5 linked regions of the Macaca fascicularis genome follow. The protein of the gene in region 5 interacts with the protein of the main gene of each other region in a biochemical or structural test. Links are inferred from orthologs where the notes say so. Each region holds a gene or a part of one and is shown on either strand. Other genes may lie near its edges.

The links.
Region 1: of the proteins of RNF40 (region 5) and H2BC21, one has a biochemical effect on the other in vitro, tested with the Homo sapiens proteins (2 studies listed by BioGRID). The link is inferred for Macaca fascicularis from reciprocal best matches to the Homo sapiens genes RNF40 and H2BC21.
Region 2: the proteins of RNF40 (region 5) and UBE2A form a complex in vitro, tested with the Homo sapiens proteins (3 studies listed by BioGRID). The link is inferred for Macaca fascicularis from reciprocal best matches to the Homo sapiens genes RNF40 and UBE2A.
Region 3: the proteins of RNF40 (region 5) and UBE2B form a complex in vitro, tested with the Homo sapiens proteins (3 studies listed by BioGRID). The link is inferred for Macaca fascicularis from reciprocal best matches to the Homo sapiens genes RNF40 and UBE2B.
Region 4: the proteins of RNF40 (region 5) and WAC form a complex in vitro, tested with the Homo sapiens proteins (2 studies listed by BioGRID). The link is inferred for Macaca fascicularis from reciprocal best matches to the Homo sapiens genes RNF40 and WAC.

Annotation. Positions count from the first base shown.
Region 1 is NC_088375.1:111,389,263-111,392,683, reverse strand, and holds H2BC21 (histone H2B type 2-E), read right to left. Parts: upstream 2,236-3,421; 5' UTR 2,194-2,235; coding exon 1,813-2,193; 3' UTR 533-1,812; downstream 1-532. Other genes in the region: H2AC20 (histone H2A type 2-C), read left to right, coding at 2,528-2,917; H2AC21 (histone H2A type 2-B), read right to left, coding at 3,078-3,421. UniProt on the Homo sapiens protein: Core component of nucleosome. Nucleosomes wrap and compact DNA into chromatin, limiting DNA accessibility to the cellular machineries which require DNA as a template.
Region 2 is NC_088395.1:125,912,754-125,917,047, forward strand, and holds the start of UBE2A (ubiquitin-conjugating enzyme E2 A), read left to right. Parts: upstream 1-1,465; 5' UTR 1,466-1,614; coding exon 1,615-1,658; intron 1,659-1,803; coding exon 1,804-1,884; intron 1,885-2,277; coding exon 2,278-2,303; intron 2,304-4,294. UniProt on the Homo sapiens protein: E2 ubiquitin-conjugating enzyme that accepts ubiquitin from the ubiquitin-activating enzyme E1 and transfers it to a E3 ubiquitin-protein ligase. In vitro catalyzes 'Lys-11', as well as 'Lys-48'-linked polyubiquitination.
Region 3 is NC_088380.1:140,910,702-140,914,799, reverse strand, and holds the start of UBE2B (ubiquitin-conjugating enzyme E2 B), read right to left. Parts: upstream 2,804-4,098; 5' UTR 2,675-2,803; coding exon 2,631-2,674; intron 502-2,630; coding exon 421-501; intron 1-420. UniProt on the Homo sapiens protein: E2 ubiquitin-conjugating enzyme that accepts ubiquitin from the ubiquitin-activating enzyme E1 and transfers it to a E3 ubiquitin-protein ligase. In vitro catalyzes 'Lys-11'-, as well as 'Lys-48'- and 'Lys-63'-linked polyubiquitination.
Region 4 is NC_088383.1:29,309,965-29,313,502, reverse strand, and holds part of WAC (WW domain-containing adapter protein with coiled-coil), read right to left. Parts: exon of another isoform or gene 3,304-3,538; intron 3,147-3,303; coding exon 2,998-3,146; intron 595-2,997; coding exon 476-594; intron 1-475.
Region 5 is NC_088394.1:28,931,112-28,935,351, reverse strand, and holds the start of RNF40 (E3 ubiquitin-protein ligase BRE1B), read right to left. Parts: upstream 2,806-4,240; 5' UTR 2,719-2,805; intron 2,643-2,718; 5' UTR 2,572-2,642; coding exon 2,440-2,571; exon of another isoform or gene 2,130-2,439; intron 2,010-2,129; coding exon 1,842-2,009; intron 1,710-1,841; coding exon 1,568-1,709; intron 936-1,567; coding exon 729-935; intron 176-728; coding exon 54-175; intron 1-53. Other genes in the region: CFAP119 (cilia- and flagella-associated protein 119), read left to right, coding at 3,357-3,560, 3,878-3,909.

The sequences.
Region 1 (3,421 bases), on a different chromosome or scaffold from region 5:
CTGTGAACCAATGAGGCTTCCCTTGGCCTCATTTGTAAAAAGGAGATTAACCCTGTAGTCCTGCCTATCTTGCATGGCCTCCTGGAAAGCAAATGAGGTGATGATGGCCGGGCGCGGTGGCTCAAGCCTGTAATCCCAGCACTTTGGGAGGCCGAGGCGGGCGGATCACAAGGTCAGGAGATCGAGACCACAGTGAAAAAAAACCCCGTCTCTACTAAAAATACAAAAAATTAGCCGGGCGCGGTGGCGGGCGCCTGTAGTCCCAGCTACTCAGGAGGCTGAGGCAGGAGAATGGCGGGAACCCGGGAGGCGGAGCTTGCAGTGAGCCGAGATCGCGCCACTGCACTCCAGCCTGGGCAACAGCGTGAGACTCCGTCTCAAAAAAAAAAAAAAAAAAAAAAAAAAAAAAAAAAAAAAAAAAAAATGAGGTGATGACTGTCAATTAAAAGCTCCTCTCCTTTAAGAGGGGAACACCAAGAGGGGAGAGTAAGAAAAGAAGGAAAAGGCTCTTTCCAGTGACCAATACGCTGAATTTGATGAAAATCCAAAAGAGGTTATGCTAAACTGGGAAGCGTAAGGGTGGATCTACCATTGCCACCTCCTCTTTGATGCAAAAAAAATCTTAACACGGCCCCCTCCCAGCTGTTGCACTGAGGTGACTAAGGACACATTTGAGGAAGTAGCTCCAAAAACATTTCCATTTTCACCGTGCCTTCACATACATCTAACGGAAATGAACAGCACCCATCATCCATCCACGAAAGCGATTAAGAAAACGATGGGATGGAAAAACTAACCCAACAATATTACATCAATACGTAGTATTTAGGTAAGTGTCCATAATGTGCCAGGCTGAAGATGCACGGGAAAACCACACCAGCCGGTCAAGGGCTTGAGAATACCATAAACAAGAAAACAGACGAACCAATTTCAGACAGCTGCTAGAAGGAAGATAAAATGAGACAGGCAAGTATGAGCGGCGCGAATTCCTTAGTGGATGACGTAGATCTCTGACAGGTGACTTTTGAGCCCGTATCTACACGGTAAGTGCCTCGCAGTGACCTGGGGCCGCAGCCTTACCCTTTAAAGCAGAGACCATTAAATGCAAAAATTATCAACAAAACGAGAAATAGGAATTTCAAAGTCTCAAAGTGAACGACGGAAACTGAAATCTACAAATTAGAAAGAGGCGCAGAATTTTGAATATTCATGTCGCCCAATCAGGAAAAGGCTGGGACCCGGCTGCGCGGGCTTCGTCCAAAATACACAGAACGGCTGGTATCCACAGGAGACCCCATCGCACAGCAGAACTGGTGACCGGACACAAAAGGTGCTGCCAAGCGTCAGTCATACACAGCTGTCACGCAGTGTTTGCGGAACCTGGGCTGAATCGTGCCCTGGAGTTCTCTTAAATAACAGCCGAACTCAGCCACTTCGTTTTAGAATGAAACAGACCCAAGAAGCCACCAGGGCGCCAGTGTGGGGCGGGAGTGGGGGCGGGTAAAGAGGCGGATTCCCAACATCCTAATTGAGAACCGACTCCTGGGAATGCTAAGCAGCACAATGAGTGAAGACACGCTCTAGATTCAAAAGCAAATCCAATCATGCACCGGGGACCTCAAGTTCCAAATGGTTAAAAACCTACGTGTGGCATTTCCCATGACCTTTACGCTAAAATTACTTTATGAGAAGAAACTAAGGGAGTAAGTGAACAAGCTCTTTTCTAGTGATTAGGTGGGTGGCTCTGAAAAGAGCCTTTGGAGTCAAGCAGCCGGCGACTCGAGCGAGCGAGCGCCAGGTCCCGGCAGGGACTCACTTGGAGCTGGTGTACTTGGTGACTGCCTTGGTGCCCTCGGACACGGCGTGCTTGGCCAGCTCGCCGGGCAGCAGCAGGCGCACGGCCGTCTGGATCTCGCGGGACGTGATGGTGGAGCGCTTGTTGTAGTGCGCCAGGCGGGACGCCTCTCCCGCGATGCGCTCGAAAATGTCGTTGACGAAGGAGTTCATGATGCCCATGGCCTTGGACGAGATGCCGGTGTCGGGGTGGACCTGCTTCAGCACCTTGTACACGTAGATGGAGTAGCTCTCCTTGCGGCTGCGCTTGCGCTTCTTGCCGTCTTTCTTCTGGGCTTTGGTGACGGCTTTCTTGGAGCCCTTTTTAGGAGCCGGAGCGGATTTTGCCGGTTCAGGCATGGTAAGACACAGTACAAACGCGGCTTAGCCAAGAAAAGAAGTAAGAGAATGGGCGGGCCTGATTCTTTTATAACCACCTTATGCAAATTAGGGCTCCGAAAGTCATTCATTTCCATTGGTCCGTGTGCGGACCTTGCGTTTTCAGCAATGCGTACGCAACAACACCGACTCTTGACTTGATTGGCCGGTTCTGAAGCCATATTAGGACCAATGAAAAACTCGTTCTAGACCCCACCCCTAGGAAAGCTTATAAAGGCTTTCCTCTTGGTTCTCTTTCAAGCTTATTTTGTAGCGAGGTTCTGAGCATTGTCTGTGTTTAACCTTGGTTTCAGTCATGTCTGGTCGTGGCAAACAAGGAGGCAAGGCTCGCGCCAAGGCCAAGTCGCGCTCGTCCCGCGCTGGCCTCCAGTTCCCGGTAGGGCGAGTGCACCGCTTGCTGCGCAAAGGCAACTACGCGGAGCGGGTGGGGGCTGGCGCGCCAGTCTACATGGCGGCGGTCCTCGAGTACCTGACCGCCGAGATCCTGGAGCTGGCGGGCAACGCGGCTCGGGACAACAAGAAGACGCGCATCATCCCTCGTCACCTCCAGCTGGCCATCCGCAACGACGAGGAACTGAACAAGCTGCTGGGCAAAGTCACCATCGCCCAGGGCGGCGTTTTGCCTAACATCCAGGCCGTTCTGTTACCAAAGAAAACTGAAAGCCACAAAGCCAAAAGCAAATAAATGCAGACAAACAAACCAAAGACCAAAGGCTCTTTTTAGAGCCACCCAAGTTTTCAAAAAAAGAGCTAATGCGCTATTTCGTGATCAGCCCTTCATTTGACACTTTGGTGGCTCTTAAAAGAGCCTTTGGGGTGAATGAGTATGGTGTCAAGCCTCTTAATTACTTGTTCTTGCCAGGCTTGTGACTCTCCGTTTTCTTGGGCAACAGGACAGCCTGGATATTGGGTAAGACGCCGCCCTGGGCAATGGTGACACCCCCGAGTAACTTGTTGAGCTCTTCGTCATTCCTCACGGCTAGTTGCAGATGGCGAGGGATGATGCGCGTCTTCTTGTTGTCCCGAGCCGCGTTGCCTGCTAGCTCCAGAATTTCCGCGGTCAGGTACTCGAGGACCGCCGCCAGGTACACCGGGGCGCCTGCCCCCACCCGTTCCGCGTAGTTGCCCTTGCGCAGCAAGCGGTGCACTCGCCCCACCGGGAACTGGAGGCCAGCGCGGGACGAGCGCG
Region 2 (4,294 bases), on a different chromosome or scaffold from region 5:
CATCTGATATCTTCTGGACATCTTCACGGGGATGTCTCACCAGTCCCATGAACTCAGTAAGTCCCACCCAAAATTTCCTCTCCCAAACTTGTCCCTCTCTCTCTATTCTGTAATTCTGTTAATGGCACCTTCAAATCCCCAGTTATCTTGGGGCTTAGAGTTTCAGCCTCTGTTGACTCCTTCCTCTCTCTTGCCTCCATATTCAACCTGTTGCCAAGTCCTCCCCATTCATTCATATCCTACTTGCCTTTACTGTCACTGCCTGGTTCAGTATCTCACACCTAGATACTGCAAGAGTCTCCTGCCTGCTCTCTTGAGACCAATCTCTGATAAGCACAGCTCTAATGATGTCACTTCCCTGCTTAATGGACTTCCAAGGAATCCATTAGCTTGGCATTCAAAACTCTTGATGACTTAACCCAAACCTACCTTTCTCCTATTTTCAATAATTTTTAAATGTGTATTATGCCTATCTTCTAAGTTATTTTGGGTTGACCTTTAAAAATTATCCTTTAAAACTGTTACTGCTTTTGCAGGTCCACGGACTGTGACTCTTCCCGCAACCTGCAGCTTTTCCACGTTCCTTTTACTTCAGACCCACTGTCCTTGCAACTCCCTGCAGTCGGATAGTCTCATACTGTGGACTCTTCTGAACATATAATAGCCGCTCGGCTTGTTGAACTACCAAGGGAAAATGTGGTTCCAGAGCCAAATTGTGAGTGCCCAAAGCAAAACAAAACAAAACAAAACCCTACTCTGCCTGCCTTAAGCTCCCATTCCCTCCCACAGGACATACAACACCATTTCATTCTGCCCAGGGGTGATCATTGGCCTAAACGTTGAGCGCCCAATCCTGCATTCAATCCCACAGCCCCGCCCCGCCCGCCGGTCATAGTCAAGGCCAATTTATTCTTTTGATTTTTCGTGATTTTAACCAATCACTCTGCTCCGCACCCCTCCGACCCCAATCTCCGGTGTCCGCAGGGATTGGGCACCCTAGAGTTGCCGCTTTTTGAGAACCGGTTTTACCTCCGCCCACTCCTTCGTCCTCTAGTTTGGGACTTCCAAACTTCTCCCCCCTCCTCCCCGGGCATAGTGCGCGCTCTCATGAATGATCTGGTCACAAAACAAAAAAGAAGAGAAAAAGAAAAAAAGGAAGAAAAAAAGAGAAAAAGAAAAAAAGCCGAAAACTTCCCAGGGTTTGCCTTAGAATTAGCAGGTGGGGATGGACCCCGTTCCACCACGAGGTCCTCCAGCGCCCCGGGCTCCAGCGTACCCCACGCCTCTGAGCTCGCGGCCCCGCCCCCGGCCTCCTGCGGGGCTTTAATGACATAAGCAACTTTCCTCGCGCACCCCCCGCCCCGTCTTGGTACGGCCTGTCCGGCGCTCGACGTTCCACCCCCCTCTCTCTGCTCTCAGGTTGGTTCAGCCCCCGTCTACACTGGGGTGGTGCTTAGCCGGCGCCAGACCGACCCTCGACTTCGGAGAGGCAGCGCGGTGCCTCTGGGTGCTTCCGCCTCCCCTTCTCCGGCTTCTCCAGCGTCCTCGGCCTCGTCGCCCGCCGCGGGAACCCGAGACCCCAGTGTATGCCCCACCCCTGACCCCGCTCGCGACATGTCCACTCCGGCTCGGCGGCGCCTCATGCGGGACTTCAAGAGGTAAACCGAGGGGACGGCCGAGGCCGGGGGTTGCGAGCCGGGGCACAGGGCGGGTCCCGAGGCGCGCCGGGCGGGGAGGGCTGGGGAGCGGCCGGGAGCGGGCGCCAGTGCCGGCCTAGGGGGACCCCTGTCTGTCTTCCCGAAGGTTGCAGGAGGATCCTCCAGCCGGAGTCAGCGGGGCTCCGTCCGAGAACAACATAATGGTGTGGAACGCGGTCATTTTCGGGTGAGTCTGCGTTCGTGGCGGTGGCGAGAGAACCGGGTACGCGAGCCCTCTCGGTCTGCGCTCCAAGGCGGGCCCCCCGTGGAGGCCGAGGGGGTAGGGGAAAATGTTTGGGTCTGGCTGGGCCTAGGCGCCTCCCCGGAGCCTGTGCCTCGATTAGCTCAGTTCCCGCTGCCAGGGGGAACCGCTTGGGGTTCTAGGGGGGCGGGGCGGGGAGTGGTGGCGGTTAGGCGCGGCGGCCTGCCCTGTGTCTCTGAGCCCGGGACATCTATTTGTAGTGGCTTTCGACTCCGGCAGCGGTGCGGGAGGTGGCAGAGCTCGGGATAGCCATCTCAGATGAAGCAGGGAGAAGGGGGCCCCTTAAGTGGGAACTGACCATTTTTCTCTGTGTTGCAGGCCTGAAGGGACCCCGTTTGAGGATGGTAAGAGAGAGTTTCTTTACCCACTTTTCAGGAGCCTGATCATCTGGGGAATGGGTTCCCACTCATCCTGGAAGTGTCTCCTGCTTAGGAACCTGGCTGTGCCTAGTCTCTGTCTGCTAAAGGCTTGAGTGGAATGCAGTGTGTAGCTGGTCGTTCTGGATATTGTATGCTTGACTAGAACTGCACCTTTCTTCTTGTTTTCTTAAAAAAAAATCTGGGGAAGGCAGTCACTTTTTAAAAGGAGCAATCATAGCACTGATATTAAGGATTTTTGAGGCTTGGGCTGTGATTCTGCTAAATTCAGCCCTCCATCACTGAATTAGTATAAACCCAACCAGTTGCTGATAGTCAGCAGAAACACCAGAGACCATCTGGTTCAGAATTCTACCCCAAGGGCAGGAATTGTGGTCAGCAGGTGCTTGGTAGATGTGTGTTGGATGTTGAGTGGATGCAAGCGTCCCTTCCATTCAACTGTCTGGTTTCTACAATCTGACATTGAATGCCTGTCAGCCTCACTTCTCTAAGATGGTCTTAAATGCCTCATTTGAGTACAGTATTGTTTCTTATTTTTAAGTGAATTTACAGTGTGTGCTTTCATCAAGACGTTATGATCAGTAATTTCAAAGCAGCTTCACAATTGAAGTTAGCCTCACTGTACCCTTTTGATCAGTGTCCCGCCTACTTGAAAGTACTACATGTACCAGTAGGTACATAATTTTTAAGTGATTTAGGTTTAACTTTTAAAAACACATGTGTAAATTGCTTTTTTAAAACTTTATGATTTTAGATAATTATAGATTCATATGCAGTTGCAAGAAATTAAGAGAGACACCCTTTATACCCTTAACCCAGTCCTCTCCCCAAACCCTCCCGTTTGGTAACATCTTGAATGACTAGACCCTATCACAACCAGAAAAATGACATTGATAGTTCTGCACTCAGTTGTGTGTGTGGTGTGTGTGTGTTGTTGTTTTTTGAAAGTTTAATACATTTAAAGGATGATTAAAGTATTTGAACTTATGAAATTCTTTAATATTTGAGGTTTTTAAAAAAAGGAAAAGGATGTTTCTGTTATTTTTTTTCCTCAATGATTTATCTTCATTCGGTCACATAGCATTTATACACACACACACACTTCAGTTTGAAGGTGGGAACAAAAACATTTCTGCAAACTACTTAATACATACTTATGTTGCTGAGCCGGATTGCTTTTTGATGCTACCAGTCCGCAAAATGTTGTGAGGTAAGTCAATATCAACTAAGTCTATAATTCATCTCAAGTAGTTAGATTTCTCCAGGAAACTGTGGACAGTCACCTGAATATTTTTAGCTTCCTCTCTACCTTTACCCCCTGGGTAAATATCATTGTTCTTCAGGGCTGCAATGAAAAGAAATGACAGCAGGAGACAGTGATTGTAAGGGCATACTACTTTGGTGCAGTTAATCATTTGAGCTGATTTGTAGCAAGAAACTATAGCTAGACTTAAATTTTCCTCTACCAGATTGGCACTAGTTATTTATTTATTTATTTATTTATTTATTTATTTTTGAGACGGAGTCGTGCCCTGTCACCCAGGCTGGAGTGCGATGGCGCGATCTCAGCTCACTGCAACCTCCACCTCCTGGGTTCAAGTGATTCTCCTGCCTCAGCCTCCTGAGTAGCTGGGATTACAGGTGCACGACACCACGCCCGGCTAATTTTTTGTATCTTTAGTAGAGATGGGGTTTCACCATGTTGGCCAGGCTGGTCTCAAACTCCTGACCTTAGGATCCACCCGCCTTGGCCTCCCAAAGTGCTGGGACTACAGGCTTGAGCCACCGTACTCAGCCAGCACTAGTTCTTTATACCTGAGATTTAAATGTACAGATTAACTGTGTATTTGCTTTAGCTCTAGTAGGCTTTGTTTTCATTGGCTTCTTTTTTCCTCGTTTTACTCTGTTTTATGCTGGGCACAGCTTTATTAATAGTACATCGCTTTGCTGGGGATTGG
Region 3 (4,098 bases), on a different chromosome or scaffold from region 5:
ATAGCTGGCTGCAGCCTCAAACTTCTGGGCTCAAGTGATCCTCCTGCCTCGGCCTTCCAAGTAGCTGGGCACCACCATGCCCAGTTAGTTTTATACTTTTTGTAGAGACAAGGTCTCTCACTATGTTGCCCAGACTGGGCCAAAACTCTTTTTTTGGTGGAGAGGGGACAGAGTCTCACTGTCTCACTATATCGCCCAGGCTGGTGATGAACTCCTGGGCTCCAGCGATCCTCCCAGGCGTTGAGCTACTGTGCTGGGCCAAAACTCTAATTGAAAAAAATTTTTTTCTAATTTATCTTGCAGTTTTAGTCCTTAAGATCTCTCATTCTACCTCAGTTTCTTTTCCTAGACAGTTGTTATATGTTCACTTTTCTTAAAGATTCAGCACACACCTATTATTTGTTAAACCTTTCAACTCACCCAAATATAACTGCATTCCACTGCATGATGTTGTTTTCAGATGGTGCACCACTGACACCCACAGGTGGGTCCTCTTGTAACCTAGAAATCCAGCGTTGTAATTTAAAAAGTTGAACATTAAGGCCACTAAGGAGGCCACATAAACACCTACAGACACTACACCATCTATTTTGAGACACAGACTAACTCCATTTCCTTGTTATTGTGAACTAAAATGAACCATATGACTTAGATATATTAACCAGGTATATATACTTATTAAATACCTCTCCAAATTACCTAAAAATCCGAAGGGCTTGAGAATCATCCCTCTTTCAATATTATCAAGAGTATCTCTTCAAGAATTGATGTATATAGACTGTCCTCTTATACCAAAAAAAGTTTAAAACCTCAAAAGCAAGTAATATTTTTACAGAACCATTGATTTTGCTGCTCTAAACATGCAAAGACTGTGTATCCTAACCACGGCTACTTCTGCAAAATGGCTACAAGAAAAAAAAAAAAAGCAAACCTCAGTGTAAACACGAAATGACTGAAAACACATTAAATTTAACTAGGAAACTAGTATTAGGCAGCAGATTTACTCTATCCCTTTTGCTTCAAACAGCAATGGCTTTAAAAAGTAATCAGTAGGTTTTCCGCCAGTCCCTATTTTAAAGGCTCTGCACTAACATCAAATCTACCTCTCAAATCAGGAGACTCAATACAAGGCTTTCCCACATTCGTCATAGTCAAATTCTTGTAACCTATAGATCTCTGGAAAACTACAAAAGGTGCCATGTATTCAACTCAGAATTAAGCAGAGCATTACAGTAAGGAGCCAGGGCGACAATGACATGAACTAGTTTACTATCTGAATTTTAGTCATGAGTGCTAATCAGATACACTGATTTCAAGCTTTAGAAAAATGACTTTTGCACCAAAAAGGGCATCTCCTTTCAGAGACTGTAACCTCAATTAAAAATGCTACATTATACACACTCACAAATACATATGGAGTTGTTTTCATGGGGCATCATAATTTGCAACTAGTCCACATAAAAAAAAAGGTTTTTAGTCAATCTCAAGCAAATTAGGCCACCACAAACAGAAGCCTTAGAGGAACTGCACTGCTTGACGCCTACCTTTAAATGGCTAAGAGAAGCTACGAATGAATTAAATAAGTTGGCCAAATCCAAATGCCTCACATAGGCTTTATAATAGCTGAGAGGTGACTTCCTGAGCGACAAATCTATGTTTTTATGCTATTTTGTTCAATTAGGGTAGGTGTCCCCAGAAAAAATTTTAAGAAAAATGTGCAGAATATCAAAATGTTTTCTCACTTATTTTGTTTTTTCTACGTTATTTTGTTTTTTCTACGTCTCTAAGTATCCAATAAAAGGTAAACTAACGGAATAATCATTTTCTTCCTCACAACCCCAATACCTCCTAACAAAACCCTATTTTATTTACCAAAGAAGGCCCAGGGAGTATCAAATTAGCGCCAGTCTAAGGGAAGGCATTTTTCCAGACTCGGGAGGCTATAGATAGGGCTTTCTTCACCAGCCAGATCTGAGTTCCAGAAGGCACTGGCAGCCGGGGTGGCCAGCTCTAAGGTCCCAGATCTCTAAGTCAGTTCCCAAGGTCTTTTCAGGCGGGCGGGGACAGAGTCGGGTTTCGGGGGATGGGTTAACCTCCGAGCCTCACGCACTGGACCCCACCCTCACGGCAGAAATGGAAAGGACTGGCGAGGGTGGGGGGCTGGGGAGGTTCACCCCAACCCGGCTCCTCGGAGAAGACTGAGGGGCCGTGAAACAAAGCTGACTGGTGCTGCCGGAGAAGAACAAGCTCCCGCGGGAGCTCACTTTGAGGGGACAAGAAAGGGTCTCCGCAGGGTGCAGGGGCGGGAGGATGATGTCTGATCCCCGTCTGATCCCCTGGACGAGACCCCGGGCAGCTGGCCGAAATGGGCAGCGGGGAACCCTAGACCAGTCGATCGACATCGTTTTACTTTTTGGGGGGAGGGGAAGCAGTATCGAAATTTCTTCGGGCGCCAGAGCGAGCGGCAAGGATAAGGAGAGTAGGGGCCGAGGTAGGACCCGGCTTCCGCCAGTCCCCCTGGGCCCACAGCCGGCCCTCTGAGGGTCACAAGGGGAAGGTGTCCGGGATCCACGCCCTGCAGCCCCGCAGCTTTGAGAGGCCGTCATCTATGCGAAGCTGAAGGCCCTTACCGCTTGAAATCCCGCATAAGCCTCCTTCGGGCCGGGGTCGACATGCTCCGCAGCTGCCCCGCGGTCAGTCTGAAAGAAAAGAGTCCCGCGCAGCCCCCCCACCCCCCGGCGCGGCGGCCGAATCACTGTGGATCGCCGCTGCCGCCGCCGCCGCCGCCGCCGCCGCCAAGACTGACAAACAACCCTGCAATGACGTCTCCCTCCGCCGCCTCCGGATCCCTCCGCCCTCCGCCGCTACCACAGAGTGAGTGCTGGGGGAGGAGGGGGCGGGACGGGGGAGCGCGCGTTCCCTGAGCCCTTCAGCGGGGCGTGGTTCTTCCTGGGCTTCCTGAAGTGATCGACAAATTTGTGTTCTCTGTGTTCAGACTAGAGGTTGTGGATTCAGAGACCACGAAACCGACACACTATCCTGTCTGCCTCCCCGTCTCTAGTTTAGGCTCGGCGGGGTGGAGAAAGAAGGACGTATCCGGGCCAGGGATTTCAGGGAAAGGAGGTGGGATGATGTAAGATCACGTGACTGCCCGCGGCCTTGTCAACAATCCACCCCTGAGGGGGAGGGGGAGAAGTATCTAGAACCACGTGTCCCTGTGACGCGTTTAGAACGGGTCACGTGAGAGCCTCGCCTGGATGTGAGTTTCGGCCAGGTCTGTGAAGCGGGTCTAAGAGGGTGAGGGCTGGATACACCTTTATTAGTTGTTTTCGGTTTATCACAGGTATAGAGACATTACCCAAGAGGTCGTGGGAGGATCAACAGCTTGTTTTGTTTTCTTTAAACCGGGACCAAAAATAACTCCCCTCTGGTTGGTTCAGTGGCTTATGAACTCTGGTACTTGGGGCAAGAAGAGAGAGGATCGCAAGATCTTCTAAGGCAGCATTGAATACTGAGGGCCACACAACAATCTCCTGAAATGGTTCCTTGAAGCTACCAAATAGTCTTTCTGCTTTGCAGTGGGGTTTCTAGTATTGGAAATTCTGGGCAAACATTAAAGGATGGTGTATTATGCAGTTTTTCCTTTCTGGGTCTGCTTTCAATTGAAGATATGTGTCAGAGTCCGGGGACTTGCCTATGGGGGGGAGTACCATTGTATTTTTAAGAATGTGGGGGTGCAGTCTTCCAAGCATATCAATGAGTGGTTGGTTGTCAAAGAAACCTACAAATATGATTCATATGTGGGGGAGAGCTCCAGCAGACCTGAGTGAGGGTTATCTATCCAGCCTGAGACAACTTCAGGTTTTTTACACTAGCAAGAAAGGTGCAAATGGGCGAGAAGTGCCCCCCCACCACCAGGGGGTTCAGAGGTGTTGACCTCCCACAGACCTTGAATATTTTTTGTAGTTACTGTCTTTCCCTGTATTGCTGCTAATTCCTACTTTCAGGACTTTGTTATACTAAGGACTCTGAGTACTTTTGTATCCATTTGGGGAATTGTTCGGTTCAACAGGTAAAGGGAGGGTGGAATGAGGACCT
Region 4 (3,538 bases), on a different chromosome or scaffold from region 5:
GTATAGAACTATCTAAAAGTCATCTGTATAGGGTCACAGTTAAGCTACTGGGAAAGCCTGACATACACGGGAAACATCGGCCCAAGTTTTAGATAGGAGACTTTGGCTTTCATCAATATACTCAAACCAAAACTGCTATGAGGAGGTTACAAAGCAATGTAATTCCAACAAATATTGTAAAATCATGTGCCTTTCTGGTACAAGTATCACAAATCTTTACCCCATCATATTCCACTGTGTAAAATTTTAAAGAGCCACTTTCTTCAAAATAACCCGGGCTTTACTACTAGAGACAATAACCTACCTCTTGTATACAGGTTTGTCTTTGTAAATTTTACAACATATAAGCCTACTTTAGAGTATTCATGGAGTTTAAAGTTGTTATATTTTACAGATACATCTTCAAACAATGCAATATACCAGTATACTATCATTAAACAAAACAATGTGGTCTCAATATACAATATCGACGTACCTTGAGCGCTGAAGACTTCGAGGAGAGACAGGTTCATGACCTTGCTGCTTGTCAGCAGTTACAGGCTGCTGTGTGGCTGACTGTGACACTGGTCCTTGCTTAACTACTGGAGTACTAACCTGAAATGTCAAAATCTGGTGAGATGGTCTCCAAATCTAATCCACATCTCTCCCCCCAAAATCTAGGTAATCGTCTTAGAACATGTAAAATATGGTGTTTTAAAGAAGACTGTCAAGTTCTAAAACTTCGGTATCTCATTTCTTTGTAAAAATGGCCCAAGGTCATAAAATTACTTCCCTATCAAACCAGTGTAAGAAACTAGCTCTCCTCCTTTACAACTCAGTTTTCTTTCCAATACATTATTATCTCTTCTGATTTGTTACTTTTATATCAATAAAAGTAAATATGTATGCTACCACATCATACACATATGGATGCTTAGATTTTAATGACATGGAGAAACAATGTGATTCGGCTATCAGAAAATGAGTTATGGCCCATATAAAGTTCATCATGAGTGTTTTTCAAAGAGATGTTACTCTACAGAGGTAGACTGAAGTCCATGATTGCCAATCAGGATACATATTATATTCAGAAGCCACAGAGAGAAAATAAGCAGTTTAAAATATAAGCTCTAAATTGAGGCACAAAGGCAGATGGAGTCCTTTGTGATAAGCCACACCTCACTGCTGTTTTTCTTTTGGTGGGGTGAGGGGATATGATTAATAATTCTCCCTAACAAATCTGGAACGTCCTGCTTAACTTCTGAATATTACCTATCAATTCTAGTCAAGTCTTATAAAGAACATTTTAGTAAGCACTAAAAGCTCAAATGTTCAATTATTTTAAAAACAACTTGAAGAAGTTTTCGGAACACAAAAAACTGATAGCTATCTGTTTAAAGGACTTTTTTTTTTTTTCTTCGAGACAGGGTCTTAGTCTGGTTGCCTAGTCTGGAGTGCAGAGTGACGTGATCTTGGCTCACTCCAACCTTGAATTCCCAGGCTCAGGTGATTCCCCCACCCCAGCCTCCTGAGTAGTACAAATTGCCATGCCCAAATAAGTTTTTTTTGTTGTTGTTTTTTAAAGACAGAGTTTTGCTCTCTCGCCCAGGCTGGAGTGCAGTGGCGTGATCTTGGCTCAACTGCACCTCCACTTTCCAGGTCAAGTGATTCTCATGCCTCAGCCTCCTGAGTAGCTGGGATTATAGGTCTGTGCCACTAATTTTGGTAATTTTAGTAGAGACTGGGTTTTGCCTGTTGGCCAGGCTTTTTTCAAACTCCTGGCCTCAAGTGATCTGCCTGCCTCGGCCTCCCCCAGTAAATTTTCAAATTATTTTTGTAGAGATGGGGTCTTGCTGTATTGCCCAGGGCCTAACTGAATCCTCCTGCCCTGGCCTCCTAAGTGCTGTAATTATGGGTGTGCGCCACTGCGCCCAGCCTGCTTAAAGGAGTTGAAATGCTCAGTTTACAAGTGACTATAAAACCAATACTGCCACTTATTTCACTTTTAACCACTATTTACTATACTCTTAAAATATCACCCTGAAGAAAAGTTCTAAGCTCCAAAAATAACCTATCTTTTGCTGAAACTCACATTTTAATTCTTTCCTCCTTAAAATACTGGTGAATGATAAGGAACTGCATGACAAACTAACAACTGTAACTTGGAATTTTAAAAATCAATCTAAATTGGCCCTAAAACATGCATTGATCAATGGCCAAGGTAGGGAAGGGATGAACAAACGGGAAGACTTAAAAGCTGACCAACCACCTCTTTCAAGTTGTATTTCAATGCATTTTTATTTTTGGGCTGCTGCTTAAGATCTTACAAATAATTGTTTGGCATTAAAAAGTTTGAAACAGCCCACTGTTTCAAAACTACTCAAAAGAAATTCCCCCTATATTTACCATTTAGCCCAGAAATTTTCTAACTGCACCTATGGAGCCAACCATGTGAGATTCTGCTGGGACAAATACAGGCAATATAAGCTTAGTAAAATGGGTCCCTGTATTCACAAACACCTAGGTTTCAAATTCTGACTCTACCACAAAAACTAGACTTAACTGAGAGTCTGATTTTCTTATCTATTAAATGAAGCAAGTGATGCTCATGATGTGAAAGTTGAACATACATTAAGTTCTTAGCACAAAAACTGCCTCATTTTTGAAATACAAATATGGCAAAGTTGCTGGAAAACATGTTCACTCATGTCTTTTGGAGTCTGAAAATTCTACAAATATTAAGACTCACAGTATACCCTCTTTATCTCACTCTCCATGTGACAAATCCCAAAACCATTAGGGAACAGACTCAGAAGGTGTATTAAAGCAGCACAGATTCAAAGCCCCCCTCTATCCCTCAGTGAACTGAGAAATTCTAGGCTGCATCTACTATCATACCTGTCATCCATTCCACCACTACACCTCATTCTCATAGAGCTTTTTCTGTAACAGATTCTAAAATGTTATTGATTTTCCAAAAGTAGTTTCTTTCCCAAATATCCCTCAAAGGTGACATACCTTTGGCTGTGATGAAACAGGAGGAGTACTGATCAAGGGTTTGATAGGGACTGTGTTAGTTTGAGGTGTGCTTATTCTTGGAGAAACATATGATCTTGGGGATGACGCATCAGACGTTAAAGACATTGGAGACTGATTAGATGGCTGGGCTGTAAAAGAGGGAAGCAATTAATTTTAAAGAAAAACAAAACAAAACAAAAAAACTAAGTCCTTTGTAATATATGTGGTAACAATCTTTGTATCACTCTAAACCCCCCACCCCCATATTACCCAGAGAACACTTATCGGAATAAATCAGAATCTGACCTTCTCACTGGGCCACACTGACTAAGTGAGCTGTGTGTTCAGAGGTAAGCACACCCAGTGTGGCCCACTCTCCTTTATGTGGCTGGAACAGGAAGCTAGGCCTGAACCTATTCTCACATGGAAGGCCTCCTCACCATCCTTATTTCTTCTTTCTTATTCTACATTTAGGCCCAGGTATCCCACGCAGTCTCCTGCTCATGAGGCTAGCCAGAGGGTTGCAAGAGTCTTTGCACCA
Region 5 (4,240 bases):
AACCCAAATCCTGCCTGATTCTAATCCCACTCCCAAAGCCCCTGGCTCCTCACCTCCAATGAGATGCGGTGGTGTTTCTCCTGCAGCTGGGTGGCCAAGTCCTGCAGTCGCCGGTTCTCACGGCCCAGCTCTCGGGTGCGTGCCCGAGCCACCTCACTGAGGGGCTCACTGTCCCCTGGGAAAGCAGGGCCCAGGTTAAGAGTCCAGCTCAGGGCAATGGGGCAAAGAACTAACTCATTCTGGAGTCTGCTATGTGCCCAGTGTGATCCCCCGGCTGTCTTGCCAATTTCTCATGACAAAGCTAGGAGTCTTTATCTCCACTGCACAGAGGAGGAAACCAGCTCAGAGAGGGGAGCCACTTTCCCAGCACGTCCAGGTGAGGGTGGCAGAACTGAAGTGGGAGAAGCCTGTCAACCTACAAGGCCTGAGCCCTTGAAGCTATGCCTTGTGGATCTGCAACCCACACAAAGTGCTCCAGAGGGGCCTCTGGACAGGAGGCTCTACTAGCATCAACAGCTCCTCCAACCCATCTCTCTAGCATTCAGTCCAGGAATCAAAGTTGGAACCCCCATCTACAGCCTAACCTACCCCTCCCAAGAACGTGGCTGATATATTCCTTGGGGAATTCTGGCCACCCTTGGACTTGGGCATTAGGGGAATTGGAAAGGGGTGCCATCAAGATGCAGGTAGGGATGGACACCTCTTGGGTATGGGCACAAAGAACCCACCTCGGCTATACACTCGCTGACAGAGTTCCTCCACCCGGCGCTGTAGGCGGTCTGAGGCCTCTACCACATGAGACACAGCTGCCTTAGAGAACTCCATTCGGCCTTGCAGCTCCAGCTCCACCTCCTCACTGCTGCTGGCACCCAGTGCCACCACAAAAGCCAAGGCCGGCTCACTGAGAGGGGGCCGCAGCTGCAATGGCAAGGGCTCTGGAAGGAATGGACAGACCCTCATGAGGATAATAGCAGCAGTTACCACCACTCTGTACTAAGTTCCAGACTGAGCCCTTCAATATTCATGGCTCACTTAATCAACACAACCTATAGTGCACTATTATCTCCATCCTGAAAGTGAGACAAATGAGGTTCAGGGAGGTAAAGTAATTTCCTCAAAGCTACAGAGTTGCGTATCACATCCTCAGAGATGCCTCCTGTACTTTCCCAATAAAAATTAGAATCTCACACACACACACATGTGCACACACAATTATTCCCTTTCAAGAGCCCCAGTACTTTCTGCTTACTATGTTTGTAATTTCCTCCCTCATAGCAAATGCAATGAGCAAGTACCCATTTCTAGAAAGCGTCAAATACATAGTTAACACTCAACCGTAATACTGTTTCCAAACAAATGGGTGTCAAAACATGAATTGCTCTATAAACCAAGTTAGTCAGAGTCCAAAGCCTGTATTTTTGTGCACTGCACTTTACCACCCAAACATGAAATCCATTTCGTGGGGAGTAGTAAGGCAGGCAATTCAGAGGCCCAACACCAAAGTCCCCTCCTCCCCAGGACTTTTCCCAGAACTGAAGCTCCCTAGATCCCAGAACTCTGGTCTCACCCCTCAGCTCTGATGTCCCCGGCTCTGGGAGAGGAGTCCCATCACATGTGGGCCCCTCCTGGGTCCCAGGTGCTTCAGGCGCTGAAGACAGCTCCCCCTGGCCCTCATGGCATCGGAGAAGGGCTTCCACAGTTTCATCCAGCTGGAAGGAGAAAGCATCAAAAATGTTATGAATCCCTTAATGCTTTCCAACATTATACCCCTTTTCCAGCAGGGGAATCTGGGGATTGGCAGCTGAATCAAGGCCTGGTCTTGGAAAGCAGAAGGCATCCACCTGGGCCCAGTAGCGATTGACGATGAGGAGTGTGGCATCATCTGTGGCCTGCCGCTTCTCCAACTTCTCAATTCGTTCTCGGAGTTCATCTTCACAAGCCTGCCGTTGTTCCAGCCGCTCTGCCAGTTTTTTGTTCTTGAACTGTAGTACCTTCAGGTCCATCTCCTCCTACCAAAGGAAACAAAGGGGCCGACGAGAATATCAAGCAGAGCCCAGAAACCAATCACACAGAAAGAGAGGAGCAGAGCATCTGGAATGCATGGGAGATGGGGGTATTCCCACACTAACCGCTAACAGAATCTAAGGAGGCTCACACAACCCACAGCGAAAGTGTCTTGGTTGTGAGGAGGCTCACGTTGTTTCTGCCTGTCCCCTTCTAACTCCTTAGTCTTTGACAAGTCACACGCCCCCTGGGAACCTGTTTTCCTATCTGTAAAGGGAAGACAGGCGTCGTGTTCTCGGCTTCTTTCAACAGAGTATCCTGTAACGCGGACCTTGCTAAACTTGGGGAAGTGGGTGTAAGATTCTGGACAATTTGGCCAGGGAACAGAGGGAGGGCTCTGGGAAATTCTGAGGGTTAAGGCAAGAGCCCAAGAACCGTGGAAGAGATGCCTCCAAGACGAATGGGCTCGATAAGAGTGGTGGTGGTCTTCTCCTCACGACTCAGCTTCTTCTCCGGGGGCCCTGAGCCCCCGTCGCCGGCGGCGCGTTTGTTGCCTAGCCCAGACATGGCCGCGGCGGCTGGAGCGGCGCAGGGTCCCCTGAGGGGCGTCAGACGGGAGGAGGCGGTACTTCCGTCACCTGCAGAAGACAGAGAGCAGAGATGTGGGAACGGCTGGTGTTCCACAGCCCCAAACACCCTCCACCCCGCACACACCTGCTGGATCCCGTCCCCGCCGGCGCCAGAGCCCTCACCAGCAACAGGGTCAGCCTAGCGCCGCCATCTTGGATTTCACCGGACGTCACTGGACGTTGCTGGCCCCCCCAACGGTGCGCAGGGCGCAGGCGCCGGAGGCAGCCCCGGATGTGAGGAAACTTCATTATCTTCTGCTTCTATTGGTTACGCTTGGTCCCGCCTCTCGGGTCCTCTGGCTTCTTCCCAAACACCTTCTCTTTCTCTCGGTGATTGGCCAAGAGGCAGTTCCCATAGTAACTGACACCAAGCTCCCACTTCCCGGCCTTGAGGACAGCGCCGGCCCTCGTATTAACAACTTGGAAGAGAGGGTGCTCAGGTGGGCACTCGCAACTTCTTACGTATCTGCGCGTTCTCTTCGCACCCACTGGCGTGAGCTTGCGTTTCCCGCCTTCATTCCTTCACAAGCCCCCTTGGCAACCGTCGCCGTTGAGACGGAGGGAGACGCCCCCACGGATTCGCTCCGCCGCGCCTCTCGGCGCGCAGATTGGCCGGAGCAAGGCTAGCGGGCCCGGCCTTGGTAGCCTCAGACCGAGCGCTGGCTGTCCTGGAACCGAGGCGGCGGGAGCCCGGGGCGCGCCGCGGCACGGAAGAGCGGCGAGATGCTCAACCGCAAGACCAGCCACTTTTTGGGAATGAGGGTGCAGTCGGAACTTGAACATCTCTCCGAGCTGCGGCGGGAAGCGGGGAAGGATCGCATCTCAGCGCGTGGGTCGGCCGCGCGGACGCGAGCGAGTGTGCGGACCCAGTCGACGGCGGCGGCGGCGGCGAAAGCGGATGAAGACCCCGGAGCCAACTTGTTCCCGGTGAGGGCGGGACAGTCTGGTCCGCTCGTGAATATTTATAAACGGGCTCCCCCGCAGGCACCAATCGTCATTATGCTTACTAACGTTCGGGACGTCTCCCGCGCTGCCTGGGCAAGGAGAGGCAGGGGTGTGTGACCCTGGTGGTTATTGTGCTCGCATAGAGCACCTAGGGCCTCCTGAAGCCCGCCCTCGCCCGCGCCTCTCCTTCTTAGTCGTTGAGATGAGATGGCAAGTTACAGCGAGTTCTGGGGCCCGCTGCAGATTCGCGACGGCCAGGACACCACAGCTGCCTTCCCCAATTCGCTTTCTTTCCGCAGCCGCCGCTGCCCCGACCCCGGATCTGCATGTGGTGAGTGTGAAGAGACTTGGGGAAGAGTTACACTGAATATTTGCGTTCTTCCTTTATTGCCTCCCCAACAGTCCTGTCTGTGGCCAGGGCATCCCCATTTTTACAGATGAGGAGACTGAGGCCCAGAGATGCAATTACTCCAGGTGACTGGAAGCCAGCTTTCCAGCATCCCCAATCCAAAGAGGAGACAGTGTGAGAAAAAAAGAGCCAAAGACAGGATGTAAAGGGAGTCTCATGACTGCTATGGAGTATTGTACAGAGGGGGACACTGAGGGCCACAGGGGGGATTTGACCAAGGTCATACAAGGTAGTGGCAGAGCAGAAAAAAAGA